Linked DNA regions of Bombyx mori. Each later gene encodes a partner of the first gene's protein in a complex. Links are inferred from orthologs where the notes say so. Each region holds a gene or a part of one and is shown on either strand. Other genes may lie near its edges.

Region 1 (11,845 bases):
TAATTTTAGTTTCATGTGGGTAGTTGAATATTTCAGTGTACATTTTTGGGTAATCGTTACCATTGTGAATTCAACGTTTATTTCCTAAACTATTCGAAGTCGAATTTACGAAAACAAATGTTGATTGTACCTAAAATGAACGGCCTTGAGGTGGGTGTCTTTTATACTTATCTTATATCTTTAAACGAGCAATTCTTGTATATAATCTGAATCTCGGAAACGGCTCCAACGATTTTCATAAAATTTAGTGTACAGGGGATTTCGGTGGCGATAAATCGATCTAGCTACGATTTATTTTCAGAAAATGTTATTTTATTCGTGTTTTCAATGATCAACTTTATCGATAATTTTGATTTTTTTTCTTTAAATAACCAGTTCATATTTTTTTATTATTCTGTCGTTAAGATCGAAAAATATTATTCATATTTCATCATTTTATCAATATGTAATTCGTATTTAAATATAAATTCGAAAAAACACAATTTATCAACAACAACAAAATATCGAGCAAAGCTCCGTCATTATCTAGTTAAATAACCATCAAGTAACCGGTTCTAAACAAGATAAATTCCTGACAAATTTTCTAAAGGATTCGAAATGCTAAAATTGGTAAAAATGATAAAATTAGGCGATATTAATTCATCTATACTAGTATAATAGTATATAATAAATCTACAGTGGTTTTTACGGATGTTCCGTTAGAACTACTGAACCATGCATCCGATTGACTTGAAACTTGGTATTCATGTAGAAAATACATGTACTTAATGGATAGGCTAATATTTATATAAGTGTTGGACTCCCTACACCAGTTGCGGGGGCGTAAATGATGAGAGTCTTTGAGGGGGTGTGAAATAATAATGTTAATTTTAAATGCCTAGCGAAGCGGACGGGTACAGCTAATTTGTTAATAAAATCACAAAAACTTTAGATAACTTTTTGAAATACAAAGTCTAGAAATACACTACTGTATCGTGTTTATTACCTTCAACTGGTCTGCGTTTTACGTCAGTCCGGCCGCGCCCAGACACTAATTCACGGACACAACCAATCAGCTAATGGAATTTGTGTGTTTATTGAGAGAAATGCTTTCCGTTTTTGAAAACGATATTTTTATGACACGACCCTACCTCGCGTGTGGTTATTGTAATCTAGTTCTTTTAGTTGGTTGCGGATTTACTTGCCGGCCGTAAAATCAGGGGTGGAAAGACTAATTTCACACAACTTCTGTCCCTTTCAGTGTATTAGCCATTAAGCTGCTTAGTGGATCAGCGAAAACGCCTTTCAAAGCCCATTGAATTTCTCGTTGGATCTTCTCAGTAGGTTGCGATTCCGATGAGGTGGTATATTGAAGCACTGCCCTTGCTAGAGATGTGCAAATTCGCCAGAATGAGCCCTGTTAGCTCGCCTACACCGTTCAATAACCCCTCGAGGTTACCAGGGTAGGTAACAAAAGCCCTTCAATAGCTTTCCTTATGATTTGGAGCAATTAGATGACTGATGACCGTCCTCCATGACCGGTAATTTCTTGAGGGCACTAGGAAACAGACGCCGAATGAGACCGTTGGTTTGCACGAACCAGTGCAGCAACTCATCTGCTCTTTTGTCAAGTTTATCTCAATAAGCGGATCGGAACTGTTTTGGAAATATTCGCGTGTAGCTATTTAGTAATATCGACAGTCCACAGGTCTTGAAACGGAAGTAATAACCGTTGATACCGGGAATACCGTTGTCAACATGCGGCTTTTATCGAGTCACACATTGACAATGTTTATAATATAGTATAATAAAAACATACCACGCTCATAAAGCACTAAAAATGGGAAGGTCTGTTCCACGAATGCCAATATCAGTGCTAATGGTTGTTGACTCGTGTCAACTGGACGTGTTTCTAACGACAAATGGGTTAAAATACCAAATTTCATGAGATTACTTAAAGCTTAAACACATTCTTAAATTGTCAAGCATGGTATTTTAACATTATGTATTTTTTTAATATTCACGTCTCAGATAAAAAGTAACTATAATAATTTGGGATCTCTTTCAACTACGCCACCAAAAAAGAGTAATGCACTACTGATTTACTGATGGTAGGACCTCTTGTGAATCCGCGCGGGTCGGTACCACCACCCTGCCTGTTTCGCCGTGAAGTGTTGAATGAGTTTCGGTTTGAAGGGTGGGGCAGCCGTTGTAACTATACTGAGACCTTAGAACTTATATCTCAAGATGGGTAGCGCATTTACGTTGTAGATGTCTATGGGCTCCAGTGACCACTTAACACCAGGTGGGCTGTGAGATCGTCCACCCATCTAAGCAATAAAAAATAAAAAAGAATTACCTTGGGTTTTTATTTTTTACTTATTTATTTATTTATAACTTTATATACTAGACAGTCTAAAGGCGGACTTAATGCCATAGGCATTCTCTGACGGTCTACCTTAGGGGGGTGCAGAGATGAACCTTGGTAGGTGTAGTGTGATAATGATATTACTTAAGCATATGTGTATATACTATTTATAGATACAAATACTCGTACTTAAATAAATACATATACATAAATATATACATATAAAAATATATATAAATAAATATTATCAATTAGATGACTATCAATTAGAAATAAAGATTCTTTAAATAAATATTATCAATTAGATGACTTTATCAATTAGAAATAAAGATTATTTTTCTTCCTACGATCTAGATTTTGTTTTGTTAATTTATCTATTAACTGCCGCAGCTCCGCCACGAGCTGGACCGAGTGGTGAGTGAACGCGACCGTCTCCTGACGGAAAGTTCGGAGCTTGGCGCCGACAAAGCGACGCGCGAGTCCGAACGCGCCGCCCTAAGAGCCGAGCTGCGGGAGGCGCGGCGGCGAGAGCAGCGGCAGCTCAGCGACATCACCGACCTGGAGGATGAGAACATCTCGCTACAGAAGCAAGTCTCAGCACTGAGGTCGTCGCAGGTCAGTACTCGGCACACGACGGCGACACGTTGTAATGTTGTATTCCATCTATACTTCTATACTAATATTATAAAGAGGAAAGATTTGTTTGTTTGTATTGAATAGGCTCCGAAACTACTGAACCGATTTGAAAAATTCTTCCACTGTTTGGAAGCTACACTATTCCCGAGTGAAATAACGGCTAAAATCTTTTTTGAAAAATATTAGGGATCCTTACTAAAACTCCAATAATGTAACCCAAGGTGTAAAAAAATTACCTAAAATATTCTTTACATCCCATGCCCTGCGAAAACTATTGATGATAGAATAAAATAATGTACTACGGCTTTGTAGAACACATTATTATTTACAAAAAGTGTCGCAACATCATATGTCTAACTATTATAGCTATACCGCAATATGTGTTCTTTTATTTAAAAAAAAACAACGTCAAATATCGTTGAAATTTTTGTTAAAGACGCGAGCGGAGCTGGAGTGGGCCGCTAGTGCTTAATAATCATCTTAATCCTAGTTTACAATTATGAAGAAGCCTATGTTTCTGGGTGGTCCGCATTATTAGGGTGACATACGAGATTACACCTATTAATTATGTTATATACTAAATGCTATGCTAATACTATGCTATAATATATAAGTATACACACTTCAATGTATCCCGATGCTGCTTTCGTTAGATGTTGCACTCGATACTACAACTTTATGTCCGCAAGTCCGAGCGTATTTGATCGCTTCGTTGGTCAAGCGGCTTCTTCAACCTCGTAAATAATATATTCAGTAGTGGTGTTCTTGTTTCGTATATAAAGGTTTCCGGAACCCCCAAGAAAATCCAAAATCGGGAATGCTACTACATATGGCTTGTTAATTATTTTGATTACTACCTGGTCCTGTTTCTGACGAGTGGAAAATATCAAATCTGTACTTGGAGTTTGGGGGGAGGGACGCGGTTCGCTAATTCGCGGCTTCCTACCTAAGCTGATAGCCTTGAGAGGCTATTTCAGCGTAACCTTAACTAGTAGGTGAGCTCACGGGGCTCAAACCGGAGTGATGCTAACACTGACCCTAGCAGGAGCAGTGCTTCGCAGAATCTACCACCGGATCGGAAACGCGACCCACTGAGAAGATCCGGCTAGTAACTCAGTGGGCTGGGTTTCACTAGCCAAGCATCCTCGCACCTCAATCCGTATGCGTTAATACAGAAAAAGTTATCACTTTATCGTGTTATCTGATTGCACCAGGTGGAATTCGAAGGATTGAAATATGAAGCTCGTCAACTCCGCGAGGAGGCGGAGGCGGCCCGCGCGACCGCCGAGGAGACGGCGGCCCTGCGGCGCATCGCCGAGCGGCAGCTGGCCGAGGCGCTGGAGGCGCTGCAGGCTGAGAGGGAAGCCAAGTTCGCCGCCAAGAAGGAGCTGGACGCGCACCTCAGCAAGGAGGCGGCGTACAACATTACGAACCTCGCCTACACTATCCGAGGTAAGAAGACAACAACAATAGATGTTGTTTTTTTAAAGTGAAACTTCTTTAGAATCGTTGTGATTTCAAACTCGATGAAACGAAAAAGTAAGTCCATAGAGACACAAACACGTAAATGTATAGGATTCAGCCGGCGAGAGAATGAGATAGAACACATTAGACGTTCTCAGTGTAGTGTTTTTTTTAATACAGCGCCATCTATGAGATTTTTTAATACTAACGTGTGTATGAAACCTCTTGTAGTGAATCTTAATTTAGGATTATACGTGAAGTTAAAATATCAATTCACAGAGGGCGCTACCTCATACTATAAAAAATGATTTACAATTATTTACTAATGACAAAATTTTATATGTACTTAGACATTTACGATAATTCTATTTTAATTTTGTTGCTTAGATGGGTGGACGATCTCACAACCCACCTGGTTTTAAGTGGTTACTGGATCTCATAGACATCTACGACGTAAATGCGCCACCCACCTTGAGATATCAGTTCTAAGGTCTCAATATAGTTACAAACCGAAACGCATTACTGCTTCACGGCAGAAATAGGCAGGGCGGTGGTACCTACCCAAGCGGATTATAATTTTGCGGGTTTGATTTTTATTACACGACGTTACTCCTTCACCGTGGAAGTCAATCGTGAACATTTGTCGAGTACGTATTTCATTAGAAAAATTGGTACCCGTCTGAGATTCGAACACCGGTGCATCGCTCAACACGAATGCACCGGACGTCTTATCCTTTAGGCCACGACGAAATCCAAACTGTTTGTTGCATAAAGAGTTATACCGGGCTCTACCATTAGAGCTGAAGCCGAGGGAAGCTTGCGGCATTGATGTGACTCAGTTATGAATATATATTATAATTTGCGTAATTACTGGTGGTAGGACCTCTTGTGAGTCCGCGCCGTAGGTACCACCGCCCTGCCCGTTTCCGCTGTGAAGCAGTAATGCGTTTCGGTTTGAAGGGTGGGGCAGCCGTTGTAACTGTGTTGGGATCTTGAAACTTATGTCTCAGGGTGGGTAGCGCATTTACGTTGTGGATGTTCATGGGCTCCAATAACCACTTAACACCAGGTGGGCTGTGAGCTCGTCCACCCATCTAAGCAATATAGCTGCTCTTGCTGTTGGCAGGTATGCCCGAGGACGGCACGGAGGACGAGAGCGAGCCCGGCGGCTCATCCTCGGCGGAGCTGGCCACCGCCATGGCGGACCACCACGCCGACTTATTCTCGGAAGTGCATCTGCACGAAATATCGCGACTCGAAAAACAATTAGAACAAGCCCACAGCGAAAACGTATGTCGTTTTATGAATACGCTTTTATTAACTTCAGACGTATGTATTATAATAATATGTTTGTAACGGAATCTATGAACATGATTTTGACCCCCTTCAAAACGCCGGATTAACTCGAAATTTGGTATACTTATTAAGGATCGATGATAATTCAATTCAAAAAAAAATTAAATTCAACTAAAAAATAAATAATAGTTTAAAAAAACTAACAATATACGCTTTTATAGAAAATCTAACTAAAAAATAGTAAATAAATTTTAATAAATTTAAATTAAAAATTGTAAAAAATCGTGGGGTAACGCGTAACTACTATACCACGCACCCCACACTTTTCTTATAATAAAATCATTTTTTCTTACACTATATTTTTAATTCAAATTTATTAAAATTTATTTTATATTTTTTAGTTGGATTTTTTATACAAGCGTATTTTGTTAGTTTTTTTGAACTATTAATGATTTATTCTTAAACTATAAAGAGCAATGTACAGCGGCCGTGTGCAATACATTGCTGGCTCATTCAATTCTAGATTGACACCTACGATACAAGTAGCCTGTATTACATTAATATTGTATTGAAGGGGTTAAATAATTACCATCATTTACAAATAAAATTTAAAATTAAAAAGACTGATATGCGCTTCAATTTCACGCAAGACAGAGAGAGCACGGTCGATGATGACGTCAAACGTGTGGCTGTCAAACTATTTAGTTGGTCGTATTAAATAACTTTTTATTTATTTATTACCTAATTTTAGAAAATTAGTGGCGAATACTGACTCAGTAATCCTCATGGATACATTGTATTGAGAATGATAGTAATAATGGCGTAGTAATTAATATAAAAAATAGGTACAGAGAAGAACGAAGAGAATTTGCTATTTATTTTGCACATTAATGGCGATGACGTCATTTTTGTTATTTAACGACTACCTTCAAAAGTAGATTTGACAGTTTTCTTTGAATAGTATAAATGGTCAGAATAGTGATGAGCGGTGTGGTGTGTTCGCAGAGCCAGGTGTCGGCGGCGTCCCGCGCGGCGCAGGCGGCGGCGGAGGCGGCGGGCGCGGCGGCCGAGGCGCTCCGCACGGGCGCCACGCGCGCGCTCGCCCGCACGCACGCGCTCGTCAAGCTGCACCGCGACTGCGCGCCGCCCGCGGTAACACCACGCCCTTACTGCTATACATACACTAGGAGCACACGCTCGAATATATCACAATTCTCAACCTTTTCAAATGGGACTTTTTGGCGGGAACGAAGTTGTGTGAATTATTTTATTTTGTTTATTTAGTGTTTCTTCAGGTTTAAATGTGTAATAATGGTGGTTTATTAACTGTTTAGTATCTGTGAAAGTGCACAAATCATCACATCTCGTTTGATTTATTTTCAGTTTTTTATTATTCTAAACTGAAAATAAATAAAAAGACGAAACATAAAAATCTTATTACTTGACGCTGGCTAATGCAGAAACTGTGTCAAACCAAAATATAATAAAAAATAACTTTTCAAATAAACAATTGAAATTGTAATCACATCTAATATATTACACGATCATTATAAACATAAAATTTATTTAAAATTATGATTGGGGCTAAAAAATATACTAATCAAAAACTGACAAACGTTAATGAAATGTGTTGATTTTCCAGGAGGAGGACGGCAAGAGTCGCGCCGGCGCGTGGTTGTCGTGGTGGCGCGTGTCTGGCGGCGAGCTGGAGTCCCTGTGCAGTTCGCTGTCCGAGCTGCTGGCGGCCGCCGCCCCCACGGAGTCGGGCGCCGCCCTGCAGAGGCACGCGCTGGCAGAGCTCGCCGACCGGGTGGCGGAGGCCGAGCTCAGGGCGCAGCACCTCACCGCCGAAACCGACCTGCTCCGGACCCTCGCTGGAGGTGAATACACCCAGAGAACCCAGGGACGCGGTCTAGATTCTGCAACAGAACGATTAAATCCAATTCTGACGTCACATCTACAATCAACTTCAATTCGATTACTGGTACCCTGCCTATTTCTGCCGTGAAGCAGTAATGCGTTTCGGTTTGAAGGGTGGGGCAGCCGTTGTAACTATACTGAGATCTTAGAACTCGTGTCTCGAGGTGTGTGACGGCGGTTACATTGTAGATGTCTATGGGCTTTAGTAACCATTTAACAGCAGGTGAACCGTAAACTCCTTCTAAATAATATTGTATATCGAAGCCGATTGACTCTGGAGCTGTTCTGAGGCCAGCCCCCCCGGCTGTGTAGGAGCACAGTATCAGCATTGTTGAAGTGAAACTTCTTTAGAATCGTTGTGATTTCAAACTCGATGAAACGAAAAAATAAGTCCATAGAGACACAAACACATAAATGTATAGGATTCAGTCGGCGAGAGAATGAGATAGAACACATTAGATGTTCTCAGTGTAGTGTTTTTTTTAATACAGCGCCATCTATGAGATTTTTTAATACTAACGTGTGTATGAAACCTCTTGTAGTGAATATTAATTTAGGATTCTACGTGAAGTTAAAATATCAGTTCACAGAAAGCGCTACCTCATACTATAAAAGATGATTTATAATTATTATTTACTAATGACAAAATTTTACATATACATACTTAGACATTTAGGATAGTTGTATTTTAATTTTTAAAGCTTTCACTTCTACCGCGTGTGATTTGGACAAATGTTTTTTTGCCCGTTGCAGGAGCGGGCCGCGCGCTGTCCACGGCGGCGCCCGCGCTGCAGTCGGCGGCGGAGTCCCTCGCGCAGATCTACCACCACGTGTGCGCCGTCAACGGCACCCAGCCGGAGCGCCTGCTGCTCGAGCACGCAGACGGTCAGTGCGCGTGACGTCACTTGTTGCCAACAGACATGACCAATGTTATTTCATCATTTCATCATCATTATCCTGCCCTTTTCCCAGTCACCTGGGGTCGGCGCAACATGTTTTCTCCTTCCATACTCTTCGATCATATACCATTTCTTCGCTCACTCCCCTCCTACCCATATCGTCTTTCACACAATCCATCCATTTCTTCTTAGGTCTACCTCTTCCTCTAAATCCTTCCACATTCATAGTTAACACTCTCTTAACAACCTCATTTTCATTTCGTCTCATCACATGTCCATACCATCCCAAACGTGCACTCCTCAGCTTCTCTATCACAGGTGCCACTTTCAGACTTCCTCTAACATATTCATTCCGTATTCTATCCATTCTCGTTACTCCACACATCCATCGCAACATTCGCATCTCTGCTGCATGCAATCGCCTTTCATCCGCCACTTTCGTTGTCCAACAAGCTGATCCATACAAGACGGCAGGCCTTATTAAGGTCTTATATATCTTCCCTTTTAGGGGAAGAGGGATGTGCGAGTCACATATTTATGCATTCGAATATATCATGCATTATTTATGCATGATATATTCGAAGAATAACCACATATGACGTCATGGACTTTGTTTGCTCAAGTTGACGTGAAAATATTATATATCGTCTTTTCGCATTAAAGTGCACAATTTCCTAAAATATTCCAAATTATGTTAATATGCGGAATCATTTCGATGCCTCCAATGAACACTACTCTAACTCAAAATTTGGAAATTCTCGTTTTTCACGCAGATCGTTTCACTATTTTAAAAGTATTAGAAATTCATTATTAATGGGGTTCGAAGCAAGAGTAAATCAACTAGTTACACAAGAAAAAACCATAAAATCTTTATTATTGCAGATATATTTATCAACTTTTTTCGTTTAAACTCTCCTCTTGTAAACTTACGAATTTGGAGTTAGAGTAGTGTTCATTGAAGGCATCGATTTGGTATCCCCAGTATTTTTCTCATAAATATTGTCAAGAGAGCGTACTTTAGTTTTTTTTTTTAGTTTACCTATGCTTTGACTAGTATTAACAAAATTAATACATAATTTTATCTTACTGTAAAAGACAGATAATGTAACTGGTAAAAAATTAAAAATAAAAGTTGCAAAGGGGATTAATATTAAAAATGTTACATGTTAAACCTTTAAAACACTCTCTTGTACAATTAGTAAATTTTGAGATTATACAGTTTTAATGCGATAACAGTTAACTGTTTGAGCAACAATATTTACATAGGCATGTTGGTTGGTGTGCAGGTCGCGAGGCCAAGTCCGGCGTGACGGAGGCGGAGGCGGAGGCGCTGTCGCTGGCGGAGGGGCCGCTGGAGGGGCTGCGCGCGGCCGGCTCCGTGGCCCGCGCCGCCGACACCCTGCTGGACCAGCTCGACCACCTGCGCGCCGCACTCGACACCGCGCTCGGCGCCAGGAGCCGCCAGCCGCGCAGTCAGTACCCACCCCCGCCCCGGGGTGTCCAACCACGCACCTTACATGCGTCTTCTTGTTTTTACCATCGCACCGCCCGCCACCGGAGTAGGGTCCATCCATACTACCTGGAGCCACTGCGGTCATCCACAGTGCGTTTCCAGAGGTATTTTTTGCCACGTACCATTCGGCTATGGAATGAACTCCCCTCCACGGTGTTTCCCGAGCGTTATGACATGTCCTTCTTCAAATGAGGCTTGTGGAGAGTATTAAGCGGTAGGCAGCGGCTTGGCTCTGCCCCTGGCATCGCTGAAGTCCATGGGCGACGGTAACCACTCACCATTAGGTGGGCCGTGTGCACGTCTGCCTACAAGGGCAATAAAACAAAACTTTGCTCTTAACACGTTGACTGCCGTGTAGGTCACCGATGCCCTACGTGGCACACTGAAGCAACTATGTCGATTTCTCTTTGTTTTTCTTACGTATATTCAGTAGACTAGGAAAGACGAATCCGAAGATACTGACAATGAATCTATTTCTAAGATACCTAAAAGACTAAAACATACATTATCAAACAAAAGAAGGCAAAGTTAAGCAATCTAGGCGCTAAGTAACAGAAATCGACATAATCACTTGAGTACGCCGCGTAGGACACCGGTGACCTACATGGCAGTGTATGGGTTAATAATCTTACCGGTGGTAGGACCTCTTGTGAGTCCGCACGGGTAGGTACAACCACCCTGCCTATTCCTGCCGTGAAACAGTAATGCGTTTTGGTTTGAAGGGTGGACAGCTGTTGTAACTATACTGAGACCTTAGAACTTATACCTCAAGGTGGGTGGCGCATTTACGTTGTAGATGTCTATGGGCTCCAGTAACTACTTAACGCCAGGTAGGCTGTGAGCTCGTCCACCCATCTAAGCAATAAAAAAAATATCGACAGGTCCCGTAGCTTCGATTTGTGAAAATCGTTCAAAAAAAGCAAAAGATATTGCCAACATAAAAATAAAAATGGCTGACGAAAGAAAAAAAAGTAATACAAACGTAACTCAATTAATCTGTAACGGAAGGAACGTTAAAGAGCTTACCGATTATTTTGAAAATATCACCGGTCTCCAATCGAACAGAAATTATATCGATACAGCGTTGAAACGTGCGAACTACAAAATCGATTCTAGTTTGAAGCATTCGAATAATTGCTTCGCACAATATAATGCCAAAAAATACGATACTAAATTTAATGGCAAAAGAAAACAGTTTCCCATAGCGAAGTCGCAAATCTCGAATCCAAATTTATCTCAATATCGAAATAAAAATCTCAGTTTGTACTCGATATGGAAAGATAAATTGTACAAGAGAGCATCTTTAGACGATGAGATCGATATTAAGAAAAGCGATCCTAAATCGTACAACTTGAAAGCATTTGTGAAATCGACTGTACTGACGTGCGTTTACGTGCTGCAATACATTCTGTGATCCCGAGCTCGTCCCGCGAAGTATAGTCCGTCAGATGCGGCGTGGCGCCCGGGACAGTTGTCGGCGGGACGTCATTAGGAAATAGGTTTGATATAACAAACCATCTGTCAAACGTATCACGCTGTAGTTAACGAACTATAACTATATAGTGTATTTAGATTTTTAATACGCTTTTATTAGCTTCAGACGTATGTATGTTTGTAACGGAATCTATGAACATGATTTTGACCCCCTTCAAAACGTCGGATTAACTCGAAATTTGGTATACTTATTAAGGACCGATGACAATACAATATTAGAAAAAAATTAAAAAAATTGATATTCAACTAATGAATGAAAAATATATAATAGTTTTA
Region 2 (11,845 bases), on another chromosome or scaffold:
AGCCGTTATTTCAACACTCATTCCTCTATCTCTCATATCGTCATTCAAACATGGATGGATGGACCATGTCTTCTTCGGTCGACTTCTTTCCCCTCTACCTTGCACTACCATTTCCATACATCTAGTTACATGCACCTTCTCTCTACCTATCCGTACTCCATACCACGCTAACCTGTCTGTGATTATAGAAGTATAATAGCCTTTGACAATAGAATCATAATAGTGTACAAACTTATAATTTCAATTAATTATAGTCTAATTTCGACTACTGGGGGACCACTAGTTTCAGTAAAAATGTGAGTTGGGAGGTAGGTATTGACAGCTTACGATCATAATGACCTATTTAAGGTAGGTAAGTTAGTAGGTAAGGTACGTACCTTGCATTCATTAGTGTCCGCGTTCCATATGCGCACGGTCTGATCGTTTGAGCAGGAAGCGAGCAGGGTCCCGTCCGGCGACACGCGCACCATACGCACCCACTCGCGGTGACCTTTGTATGTCTTGATGCAGTACCTATTCAAAATTTAAGGTACATACATATTTAAGTGACCTCACTTTAAATTTTATAAATCTGAATGTACGTTGTCACATTGAGAGTTTTCCAACTTAAGTGTTTATAATAAAAAAAGAAAAAAATTATGTTAAATTGTGAATATTATTAGTGTCCGTTATCTACTTTTAATGACATAATTATTATAGTTACGAAAACTAGATAAATTCTTGGATGATTCTCGAAGATCGGACGCCGGGTGAGAGAGAGTGCAAGGGGAGTCGTTTGATGGGTAGGATCCTAAAAATATCCTTGGACCCGCGGTCTGTTCCCGACCGCAGCGGACCGGCAAGTCCCACACACACCGCGTGCCCCCTAGGTGCGGACACCTTGTAAGAGGTTCGGTCCCCTGACCGAAAATAAGGGTCTGATGTCAACATTTCATTTTAAACATCCCAAATTGTTTTTTGTTATATCATTCGTTCATTCACTCACTCCACCGTGAAGAATTTGTTCGCAATGTACGGCTATATTACAGACCCGCGATTCCCAAGAGACCGTGGATCTCACGCTTTCAATGATATTACATGGCTATTGGACCAAAAATAATCAATTCCCTTGAGTTCTGTTCGTGTAGATTCCTTACCCAGTGGCGACCTCCCAGGCTTTGATAGTTTTATCCCGACTGGCGGAGTACACGATGTCGCCGCTAGGAGAGAAAGCCACCGAGGAGACGTTGTGGTCGTGTCCGTGCATAGTCTTGATGCACTCGAACGTCTGATTGAAATCCCACAGCTTGATCGACATGTCGGCGCTGCAAGACACTGAAATGGAAAACGTTTTTATAGTCAGTCCAATTTCTTTCTTTTAAGGGATTTTATGACCTGGTAACTAAGACCTTTGGGTCAAACCTTATTGTAATTTTAATGAAAACTGCACTATATAAAAACTGTTAATATGAAGTGAAATGAAGTTGATTAATATAAAACAATGGCATGAAATGAAATTAAATGAGATGATATGGGATGAAATATAATCTCAGTAAAATGGTGGTCATTTACTGAGACTTTTTGGAGGATCCCAAGAAGTTTCCAGCGGCTTTGTTTTATTTTCACAAATTTGTACACCTTCATGAAAACAGTTAATAAGCCACCGTTATTACAAATTTAAACCTAAAGAAACACTGAATAGATAAAATAAAACTAATCACACAATTTCACTCCTCGCTTTTCCGCCAAAAAGTCCCTCAATTTCATTCCGATTAAAAGTTAACCTCGATTTTTTATTTATCTTAAAAGTGGGGTATATGTCCCCTATGTTACACATAAAACTAATGCAATTCAGCGAAAAATCTAACACAATAGTACAAATAATAAGGCAGCATCATATTGGGGGCGTTAGCGTTTTAACGCGGGACTCCTGTTTCTCTTTGAGACTGATCAGTGTCCTGAGTAACTCGAACTGGTACGTACTATAGGTTACCAGTAACATGTCACAACGAAAGAAAGAACGGAAACTGATATATTGATCGTGGTAGGACCGTCTCGTCGTGTGACTTGATTATGCAAAAGCCTTATAATCAAATATAGTTTTAGAAGATGTAAAGAATACGTCTTTACTCTGTGCACCTGATGGTTCACTATGCTACTGCATTATTTAGTTTAAACAGATTCGCACCGATCTTTTTACTGCCTAATTAACGGGACCAGCAGTTATTATGCAGAGAGATGAGACAGATGTTCGACTCTAAGCGCATTGCCTCTGCCTTTTGAGGTTTGGATAAAACTAATGAGTGGAGACCGCGAATTGGCAAACACAGTGCAGGACGCCTTCAGGCTCGGTGGAGTGATGATCTGTGCAGGATGGCTGGCAGCAGCTGGATGAGAGATGCTGAGGATCATGCTCAGTGACGAGCAATTGGAGAAGCTTATGTCCAGCAGTGGACTGCTATAGGCTGACGATGCTGAAACTAATGAGAATGTAATTATTATACATACCAAGTAATTTTCCATGGTGGTCGAATGCAATGTCCTGTACGGAGTCGGTGTGACCCTTCAATGTTCGTTCGTACTCGCCGCTCTCAAAGTCCCAAACTTTTATGGTTGCGTCCTCGCTCGAGGACACCATCAAGCTGAACACGGGGTGAAATATTACCTGCAATTTTGTTTTGTTCACACTATTATAACAATCACATACGTAGTTTTAAAAAAAAAAAACATTTTTTTTTATTGCTTAGATGGGTGGACGAGCTCACAGCCCATCTGGTGTTAAGTGGTTACTGGAGCCCATAGACATCTGCAACGTAAATGCGCCACCCACCTTGAGATATAAGTTCTAAGATCTTAGTATAGTTACAACGGCTGCCCAACCCTTCAAACTGAAACTCATTACTGCTTCATGGCAGAAATAGGTAGGGTGGTGGTACCTACCCGCGCGGAATCACAAGAGGTCCTACCACCAGTCTAAAAATCTAATTAAAAAATTGCAAATTTACATTAAAAACGCGTGCGTGCAATAATCAAACATGCACTCAACGGTTTCATCATTCGTATACATCATAGAAAGCGTACTAGATACGATTGTCTGGAAACGACAGGGGAAACTGACAGCAAAAAGCTAAACAATAACATCTAGTCCCTACAGCAAAACTCGTACAAGACTCGTGCTCAAAACTTTCATTACACTAGAAAGTTACAAATTTGTCTAGTCCATTAATGCAATTTCATGATATTTTTATGAAACTAAATTATAGTGTGAGATAATTTTTTAAGTTTAATATCGCGATATTTTAAGTGTTTACGTTTTTAATGTTTTAAGTAACATTTACCAAATAAAGTATTACGAAAAATGTATATAGTATTTAGCAAACAAAGCATTCCATAAGTTTAAAATCACAATAAACTTCATGAAACTGTAATAGATTGAATTTGTTTAAGACTCGTGAAAATCGGACGAAATATTGAAAAAAAGATTTAGAAATAGACTCATGTTTTAGATTAGAACTAGACTAGATTAACTAAAGATTAATGTTGAATTATAGTTTATTTATATGCATCGATGATGTACTGAGTAAGAGACCCGGCAACAACAACCCCGTCCCAAACGAAACTACTATGGCATAGGTCAAATTCTTTAGCAGGTACTTACTGTCCGTACCGTAAATACATTAATATTTTTGTTCATAAATATGTCTTTATAGTTACACGACTGAACAAGCTCATAACATACTTGGTGTTGAATGCTTAACAGACATGAACATCTTAAATGCCGCCTCCCATTTTCGGGCATTAGTTCAAAGACCCAATCCTGTAGTACCACTGTTGCCCCACCCTGTAGGGTGGAAAGCAATACTGCTTCGCGGCAGGTATAGGCGGAGTGGAGGTACCTACCTACCCATTCGGATTCACACGACGCCCTAGTACCAGAATATGTTTTCACGGACCACTTCCACAGCGAAGGAATACCATCAAATCAAATCTAAGATATTTGCATAATAACCATTGGCTAGGGCGCACGGTAAGTAGTCTTGTGTGATCCAATATGAAAATTTTATGGACAATATTTTTTTTTTATAAAATTATTTTTTAAGCATACAATACACATTATTACAAGCTAAAAGGATACACAAAAAATAACAACAAGTAAAAAAAACACTGGCTTGCAACATAAGCCATGTATGTGCGCACGTCTAGGCAAAACAAATGTGTTGAGTTTGTACACAATGGTCAATTTGTATTATTAAAAGATAATCGAGACTTCGATTTTATATTCGACGGTCTTTGTTTACTACTTAAGACCAGATAATTACTGAGCTCTTATGACAATCTACGGCCAAAGAGAGCCTCAAAAAAAGTGGTTTTTTAAACATGAACACACAAAGGCACTTCATTTCCTCTTTCATTAAAAATATTTCTGCGTTGACGTATGACTATTTTATCTTCATTAAATTATGTATTGGTTGGTTTTTTCAGATGCGACCTCAATGGTTTGAAGTAAAAGTTCAAAGGTAACTAAACCAATAATAATTACCAAGACACAACTTTCCAGTTTCTTGTTGTTCGTTTTACGTGAATTTAGAACGGACGTGCTTGTTTTGTTTGCAAATTTAATTTCACTAGAGGTCCCGCAGTAGTCGAAATTCGACTATAATTAATTGGGATTGTAAGTTTGTACACTATTATGTGTGTATTTTATACTTCGATAATCACAAATTTCGCCAAAACTACACTATAAAAATATTAACAAAAACCAAACAATATTTAATCTATTCTCAATTTGACAACATACGTCAAAAACAAAAGTTTGACAATAAATAGTATGCATGCGTGTGTGCGTCAAATACATATTATGTAGTGTGTGTAATGTTTTCTTTATTGATTTATTGTATCTTATAGGCATTATTTTAAAAAAATATTAGCATTGTGCACTTCTCTATATTCTCTATAAGTGTAGAAAATTTCATACTCCTCCGTCCGCGCAATTTTCGTAAAAAGGGATACAAAGTTTTTGCTTCACGTATTAATATATAGATTGTTAGTGTAGTTTATGTTTGTGTGCAATGTATTTATTACCTTAGTAATAGTGGCCCTGTGTCCAGTGAGACAAAACTTCTCGGGTGGACGCGGAATCCATTCTGTTGGAGTGCGCTTAGCTCGCGTTGGAGCACCCTCGATGAATTCCTTCTGAGCCTCCGACAATTTAGATTCCAGTTCCATAACCTTATACAAACATTACAACAATGTTACATATTGCGTGTGCTCGTTTATGATTTTAAAAAAAAACCTACATACTCTTCAAAGCTACGAACCGCACTGAGTTTGTATAGTCCTTAATTACTTAGAAATACTGACTGCAGCTGTATTGGAACATCTGCTTTAACTCGAATAATTTTATAGATGTTTAACATGTCCCGACAAAGGGTAATGTCTCAAGTTTTGAATCACAAAGAAACCTGTACGTAATTACAAGGATTGTATACACGGTACATTTACATTGAAATTACTTGAAAATTCTCATAAGAGTGCAACCAATTATTATTATTAATAAGTCTTCTATCGCCTTGAAACGCGTTCGAATTACTATTCGTATAGTGATAGTCGATAGGTAAGTCGTGTCAGACTAATAAGCAATTCATCGAGAGGAATGGTCGAACTCCCTGGCATCGACCGTCCGCCCTAGAAAACGTCACGACCTAGATACTGCCGACTGAGAGTTTTGCAGATCACTTCCATGTACCAGCAACCAAATATTCAGAATGAAGAAAAAAAAATTTAATTTTAAATGTCTTCTTCGTCGCTTTCTTCATTACTGAAGGTCGTGTCCCTAAACACGGTGAGCCGCAGCAGGGTGGCCAGTAACATATTTCACACCGTGTGACCTGGACTCGACATGGCGCCGGATGGTAGCCGGATCGCATACAGTCTCATTCTGTACTCGGTCCACTTTTATAGGATTACTTGGGAAAACTAGCGCAGTGGTTTGCATTCTGCGCCGCAGTGAAGTTGGTTGGGGTAGTCAGTACGCCCTGCTGCCAACGACTGACCTCCGGTGTAAAGTATCTATAGATTCGAAGTTCCCCCTCTCTCATACAGTCTGTATGTACTATGTATTAATTTTAAATGTATGTAATATCAAATAAATTATGATCATATAGACTGTTTTTTCTGTTTACGACATATATAAAGAAAAACCTTTTTCTGAAGTCTGATGACGGAGGTCCATTTCTTCTCCAAGAGGCCACCGAACTTGCGATCCATCTCGCCGGTCATGTCGGCTTCTTTCTTGAACGCTTCCAGCGCGTCATTGTAACCGTTACTGCCTAGATAATCGGCAATCGCTTTGTTCCTGTAAGAAAATAATCGATTATTTTTTTAAACTACTCAATTAAGGAGTTATTTAGTACGTTTACATTAAGCAACAATAACTTGTTCACGATCTACAAACACAACGTATGAAACGGATGTTTAGAATAAAAAACATTTGTATGACGTCAACACAAAACAATGAATGCAAAAAAGTTTTTGCCATAAAACCGACAGTAAACATCTATTAATATTGACTTATTTTGCGTTACATTAATTAATATAACTTGACTTATATAGGTAGTAACAAAAAAACATGATAATTACAAATCACCCGACCTAGAATATGTTTCTGAATATGTCAGTATTCATTCATAAGAGCACAATATTTTTGAGGAGGTACTTATTGCGTGTTTTTTTAACTAAGATAATTTGGTAGTGCAATTTTATTAAGAGACACATTAATTAGAGCATTTAATAAACCGAGCTATTAATTCTTAATCGCATCATTCATTACACTAACCCGGATCCGAGTTTCAGACGCTACGCACTAGACCTAAACAAATCGTCAATAATAAAAATTTTACGACGAATCCTGCACGCACATTTGAAAACTATAATATAAAAGGTTTATTGCTTAGATGGGTGGACGAGCTCACAGCCCACCTGGTGTTAAGTGGTTACTGGAGCCCATAGACATCTACAACGTAAATGCGCCACCCACCTTGAGATATAGTTCTAATGTCTCAGTATAGTTACACTATAGGTTAAGGTTAACTTTTATCGCCGTAAATTTTCTCTCCGGCATTTTCACAATTTCAAAAGTAAGTCAATAATTATAAATGTGTTTTATAAAACGAATGTAAATACTTGTTACGATGAGTTAACATTTTTAACTACCTAATTCTTTATTGACATATAGATGAGATCATCACCTGTGATATAAAGGACAACGTAATGCAAATATTATGAACAACTTGTTTAGTTTCGTCAAAATAAAAGCAAGGTTGCCTACCAGACGAATAAAATGTAAATAATGTGATAACAAAATCCACAAAAAAGATATTGTTTTAAATTATGAATAAATGCTAGATTAAATTGTATTAAAACAATTTATCTAAATTGACATTTTCATGCTACACTATGGGATTAAGAAGAAATTTACATAGTGTTTAGTTACTACATACAAACTTTTTTTTAACGCTGGGGCATATGTTTACGCATACCCGGTCGAAGGGGGTTACAGACCGGATTATGTCGGACTCCGGCGCCTCCAGAAAAGAAGAGGGAGAAGAGGAAGACTTGGCTACATACGAACTATAGATTTAATCTATCTTTATGTCTATTATTATATCTTCCAAGGATGTATTTGTACGATATTGTATTAGATCATTTTTAATTATTTTTTGTGACATGTTTCCAAAGCTTTTGTTTGTCGACCAAGGAAGGACATCGACACAGTGGACAAACATGTTTATTTTAGAAACCAGCCGCTACATTTACGTGGGGGCCGAGATTACGTCATTGCATTCTGCCGATACATAATTGTATATAGTCAATAATGAAATAAAAGGAGACTTGCATAATATTTGCGCTTTGAAATAGTCTGAAATGAAATAATACATAAGAGGTTGTCATTAAAAACATCGTTTAGTAATCATTTCTTAAGAACTATTCAGTTAAATACAGTGTGATTCTTTTTTTTTACATTTTCTTTTTGTAACGATGATCTCTTCGTAAATTTGGTATCGAAGTAATATTTAGTTGTTTCATTCTTAAGCAAAGTGGCGGTAGCTTTAGTATCATACAACACAAGATATTTGACAGATACCTGAATTTCGCTTACAATATTTTCAAGAGAAAATTTCCACATTATACTCGTATACAAGTTCCGAACAAAAATATTGGACCGTCGGTCTACCGAAAAATATCACCAGCTCGGTGGAAGATCTTCTCTTTGTCGTATACTCCCACAAGCAAGTTCCAATCAATTAATGTTATTATATGTGTTTTTTTTATTGCTTAGATGGGTGGCCGAGCTCACAGCCCACCTGGTGTTAAGTGGTTACTGAAGCCCATAGACATCCACAACGTAAATGCGCCACCCACCTTGAGATATAAGTTCTAAGGTCTCAAGTATAGTTAGTTACAACGGCTGTCCCACCCTTCAAGCCGAAACGCATGACTGCTTAACGGCAGAAAAAGGCGGGGCGGTGGTACCTGTTCGTACGAACTCACAAGAAGTCCTACCACCAGTGCTTACGCAAATTATAATTTTTACGGGTTTCATTTTTATTACACGATGTTATTCCTTCACCGTGGAAGTCAATCGTGAACATTTGTTGAGTACGTATTTCATTAGAAAAATTGGTACCCACCTGAGATTCGAACACCGGTGTATCGCTCAACACGAATACACCGGACGTCTTGTCCGTTAGGCCACGAAGACTTCTACGTGTCTAGTATCGTACTACGTGTTTTCACATATAGCAGTTTAGAAATTAACAGTATTATTTTGTTCATCATCATTTAATAGTGCGTGGAAAAGACAAACAAATGGTTTTAAATCAATATAATATTCTATGTGAGAATTATCTGTTCAACTAAAACTTATAATTACGAAAATATCGATACTAAAATATCCGTCGCGGTATTGGGATAGAGCGAAAGTGGTTTCGTGCGTTCGCATAGTGGCGCGGGCTGATCTGGGACCGCCTGAGAAAATAACTTTCACGGTACATTTCCTACGTTAACAGTCCAGTTATTGTACTAGGGCTGTCGACTTTAGTTGAACCCGAGTTGTTGTTGTAAGACAAACAATATGCTGCGGAGGGGGGATGATCCAACGCTCACGGTATTGACAATATAAAATAGAATGTTTCTCTCCGCATGAAAACCAAAAATAACATTCAATTAAACATATTGCAATGGGGGCTGACTATGTGAAACGCAATTAAAGCGTGAACCTCAACTTTATGACTCTGAAGCTTTTTTTTCCTACCTAAGCTGGTAGCCTTGAGAGGCTATTCCAGCGTAACCTTAACTAGTAGGTGAGCTCACGGGCCTCAAACCTGACGACGTTGCTAACACGAACCCTAGCAAGAGCCGTGCTTCGCAGAATCTACCACCGGATCGGAAACCCGACCCACTGAGAAGATCCGGCGAGAAACTCAGTGGGCTGTGTCTGAGGGTTAATTTACTCGTCGAGCCCTTCGTCGCAAGCGACGGGTTCGAAGAGAACGGTGACCGGTGCTTGAAGTACCTAAAAGCACCGTTGTGGATCGGGAGGATCCGAGATGACGTGTTTTGGGCGACGTCGACTGCTTTCCATTCTTTCCGCAGGATCGGGAATGATGACTGAAGTATCATCATGCATACGAACTGGATAATTTTGTGATGAATCTGTATTCAAGCGACGTCGGATTCAATTACAAGCATTTTTACACTATATCAATCGTTTGCAAAATTATAGATTTATTTATCATTTTAAGTTCACATTCATTTTTTATCTATAATTATGGTATAAATTGTACGATTGAATTCACCCGTTTCTTAATTATGGAAATTCCACTGCTTTTTATAATAATAAATTGCTCATGTTTTCTTGTCATTTTGTTTAATGATAAGAACCCGAAATAGTAGTAGTGACCTCACTTCGACGATTCGAAATTCCAATAGTTGTAACTTAGTTAAGATAAAAAAAATCACTATGATAATGTAATTCTTCGAAAATTTTACACTATTATCTCTTACTCGCGACCCGCCCTTGCTTCGCTTCGGAAACATTAAAACACAAATGAAACAAAAAAAAAAAAATTAAAAAAAAAAGTTGCCTATGTTCATCAGGGACAATGTCGGCTTCTAATGGAAAAAGAATTTCAAATCGGTCCAGTAGTTTCGGAGCCTATTCGAAACAAACAAACAAACAAATCTTTCCTCTTTATAATATTAGTATAGATATAGATATTAAAGCATGCACGCGTTACGCACTTTGACTAACCCTAGCATTGCCAAACTTTGTGAGCGCCGGCTGTTACTTACCAATAGTTGGAATTTAGGCTAACATGGCTTTTTTAAGTTTGTGAGCCTCTAAAATAAGATAACCTTGAAGTTGGAAGAACAGAAGCTAACGGAAGACAAACCTAACCTTGTACGGAACTCCTTAGTGTGACTGTAATTGAAATGATTATTATCTTAACTGATAAGATTGTAGCTAGTTTCCTTAGAATAAATGAAATGCCGTATTTTTTTTCTTTACGTTTTGTTAGGTACTGATAAAAAATTTGATTTAGTTCGATCAAGAGCGTTCATTATTTGAGTCGACTATTATCAAAGCCGGCAATCTGACTTTTGGATAATTATTGGTAAATCAGAAAAACGAATTATTGACTTTGTATTCCATTGGCAGTCACAAAACTCTTCGGAACGACATCTTAGATAAATAACAGGTTAACTATTAACCTTTATTTAATGCAGGTTTTGAACCGTATTCTTTGAAGGAGACGATTATATTCAAATCAATCTGTATTGACATATCAATAATTTTTTTTTGTCCAAATGCACAGATTGCCACCTTTGATAATAGACGACTCATTTATACTGCATTTTTTATTTATCTAACCTAAGAGTATTCTCATCATCTCATCATAAAACAAACTATTCTCATCATTAAAACCTGCGTTCAGACAGACTTTGGGTCATGAATGTCAATAGATAATCGTGTCAAAGTGAAATTTATTACTCAATTTTTTTTTTTTTCAATTTTTTTTTATTGCATAGCTGGGTAGACGAGCTCACAGCCCACCTGGTGTTAAGTGGTTACTGGAGCCCATAGACATCTAACGTAGACGTGCCACCCACCTTGAGATATAAGTTTTAAGGTCTCAAGTATAGTTACAACGGCTGCCCCACCCTTCAAACCGAAACGCATTACTGCTTCACGGCAGAAATAGGCAGGGCGGTGGTACCTATCCGCGCGGACTCACAAGTGATCCTACCACCAGTAAAATTATAAATATCACATTATATTAATATTTCGCAGACGTTTTTACGAATAAACATTAAAGAATTCACAAATACATTAAGCCATTGTGTGCGAAATGAAATCATAACTGATGCAAAAACACAACGAATGGTATTTATTGAATTGAATCGTAACACACGAACGGAAACAAGCACGTCATTTGAACCGATATCGACCGACAATAATGATTTAATGAGGTACGATAATGATTCTGCTAATAAAAAGAGTGCGTTGGACTTCTTTCGTCGAGAGCTAAAATAGACTAGTATAATCGGTATTCGAAAACCCATTTGGATGCTAAAAACCGATATATACGTATTATTGTATCGGTAACTAAGCAAGTATCTTTGATTTTATCATTGAGTCTTTAAGTGAAGGGTTGGGCTATCGGGTTAAATCTTTGATGATATTGTTTCAAAGTCAAAATTAAACGTAGCCAATCAAATTAAACATATTGTGTATAAAGTCAACGTATTTTTTTTTAAATACTTAGTATGTACGTTACTGCTTAGTCAATTTGATAATGTCTAA

Evidence for each region.
Region 2: protein bicaudal D (region 1) and lissencephaly-1 homolog share a complex: the UniProt entries of both Caenorhabditis elegans proteins name them as parts of the dynein-regulating complex. The link is inferred for Bombyx mori from reciprocal best matches to the Caenorhabditis elegans genes bicd-1 and lis-1.

Annotation. Positions count from the first base shown.
Region 1 is NC_085125.1:2,125,498-2,137,342, forward strand, and holds part of protein bicaudal D, read left to right. Parts: intron 1-2,737; coding exon 2,738-2,962; intron 2,963-4,197; coding exon 4,198-4,435; intron 4,436-5,573; coding exon 5,574-5,737; intron 5,738-6,748; coding exon 6,749-6,895; intron 6,896-7,385; coding exon 7,386-7,623; intron 7,624-8,416; coding exon 8,417-8,548; intron 8,549-9,848; coding exon 9,849-10,034; intron 10,035-10,956; exon of another isoform or gene 10,957-11,574; intron 11,575-11,845. UniProt on the Caenorhabditis elegans protein: Part of a complex with dlc-1 and egal-1, which is recruited to the nuclear envelope by unc-83, where in turn, it recruits dynein to the nuclear surface and regulates nuclear migration in hypodermal precursor cells.
Region 2 is NC_085114.1:11,232,209-11,244,053, reverse strand, and holds part of lissencephaly-1 homolog, read right to left. Parts: intron 6,335-11,845; coding exon 6,181-6,334; intron 5,209-6,180; coding exon 5,062-5,208; intron 2,645-5,061; coding exon 2,488-2,644; intron 1,315-2,487; coding exon 1,137-1,314; intron 514-1,136; coding exon 378-513; intron 1-377. UniProt on the Caenorhabditis elegans protein: Positively regulates the activity of the minus-end directed microtubule motor protein dynein. May enhance dynein-mediated microtubule sliding by targeting dynein to the microtubule plus end.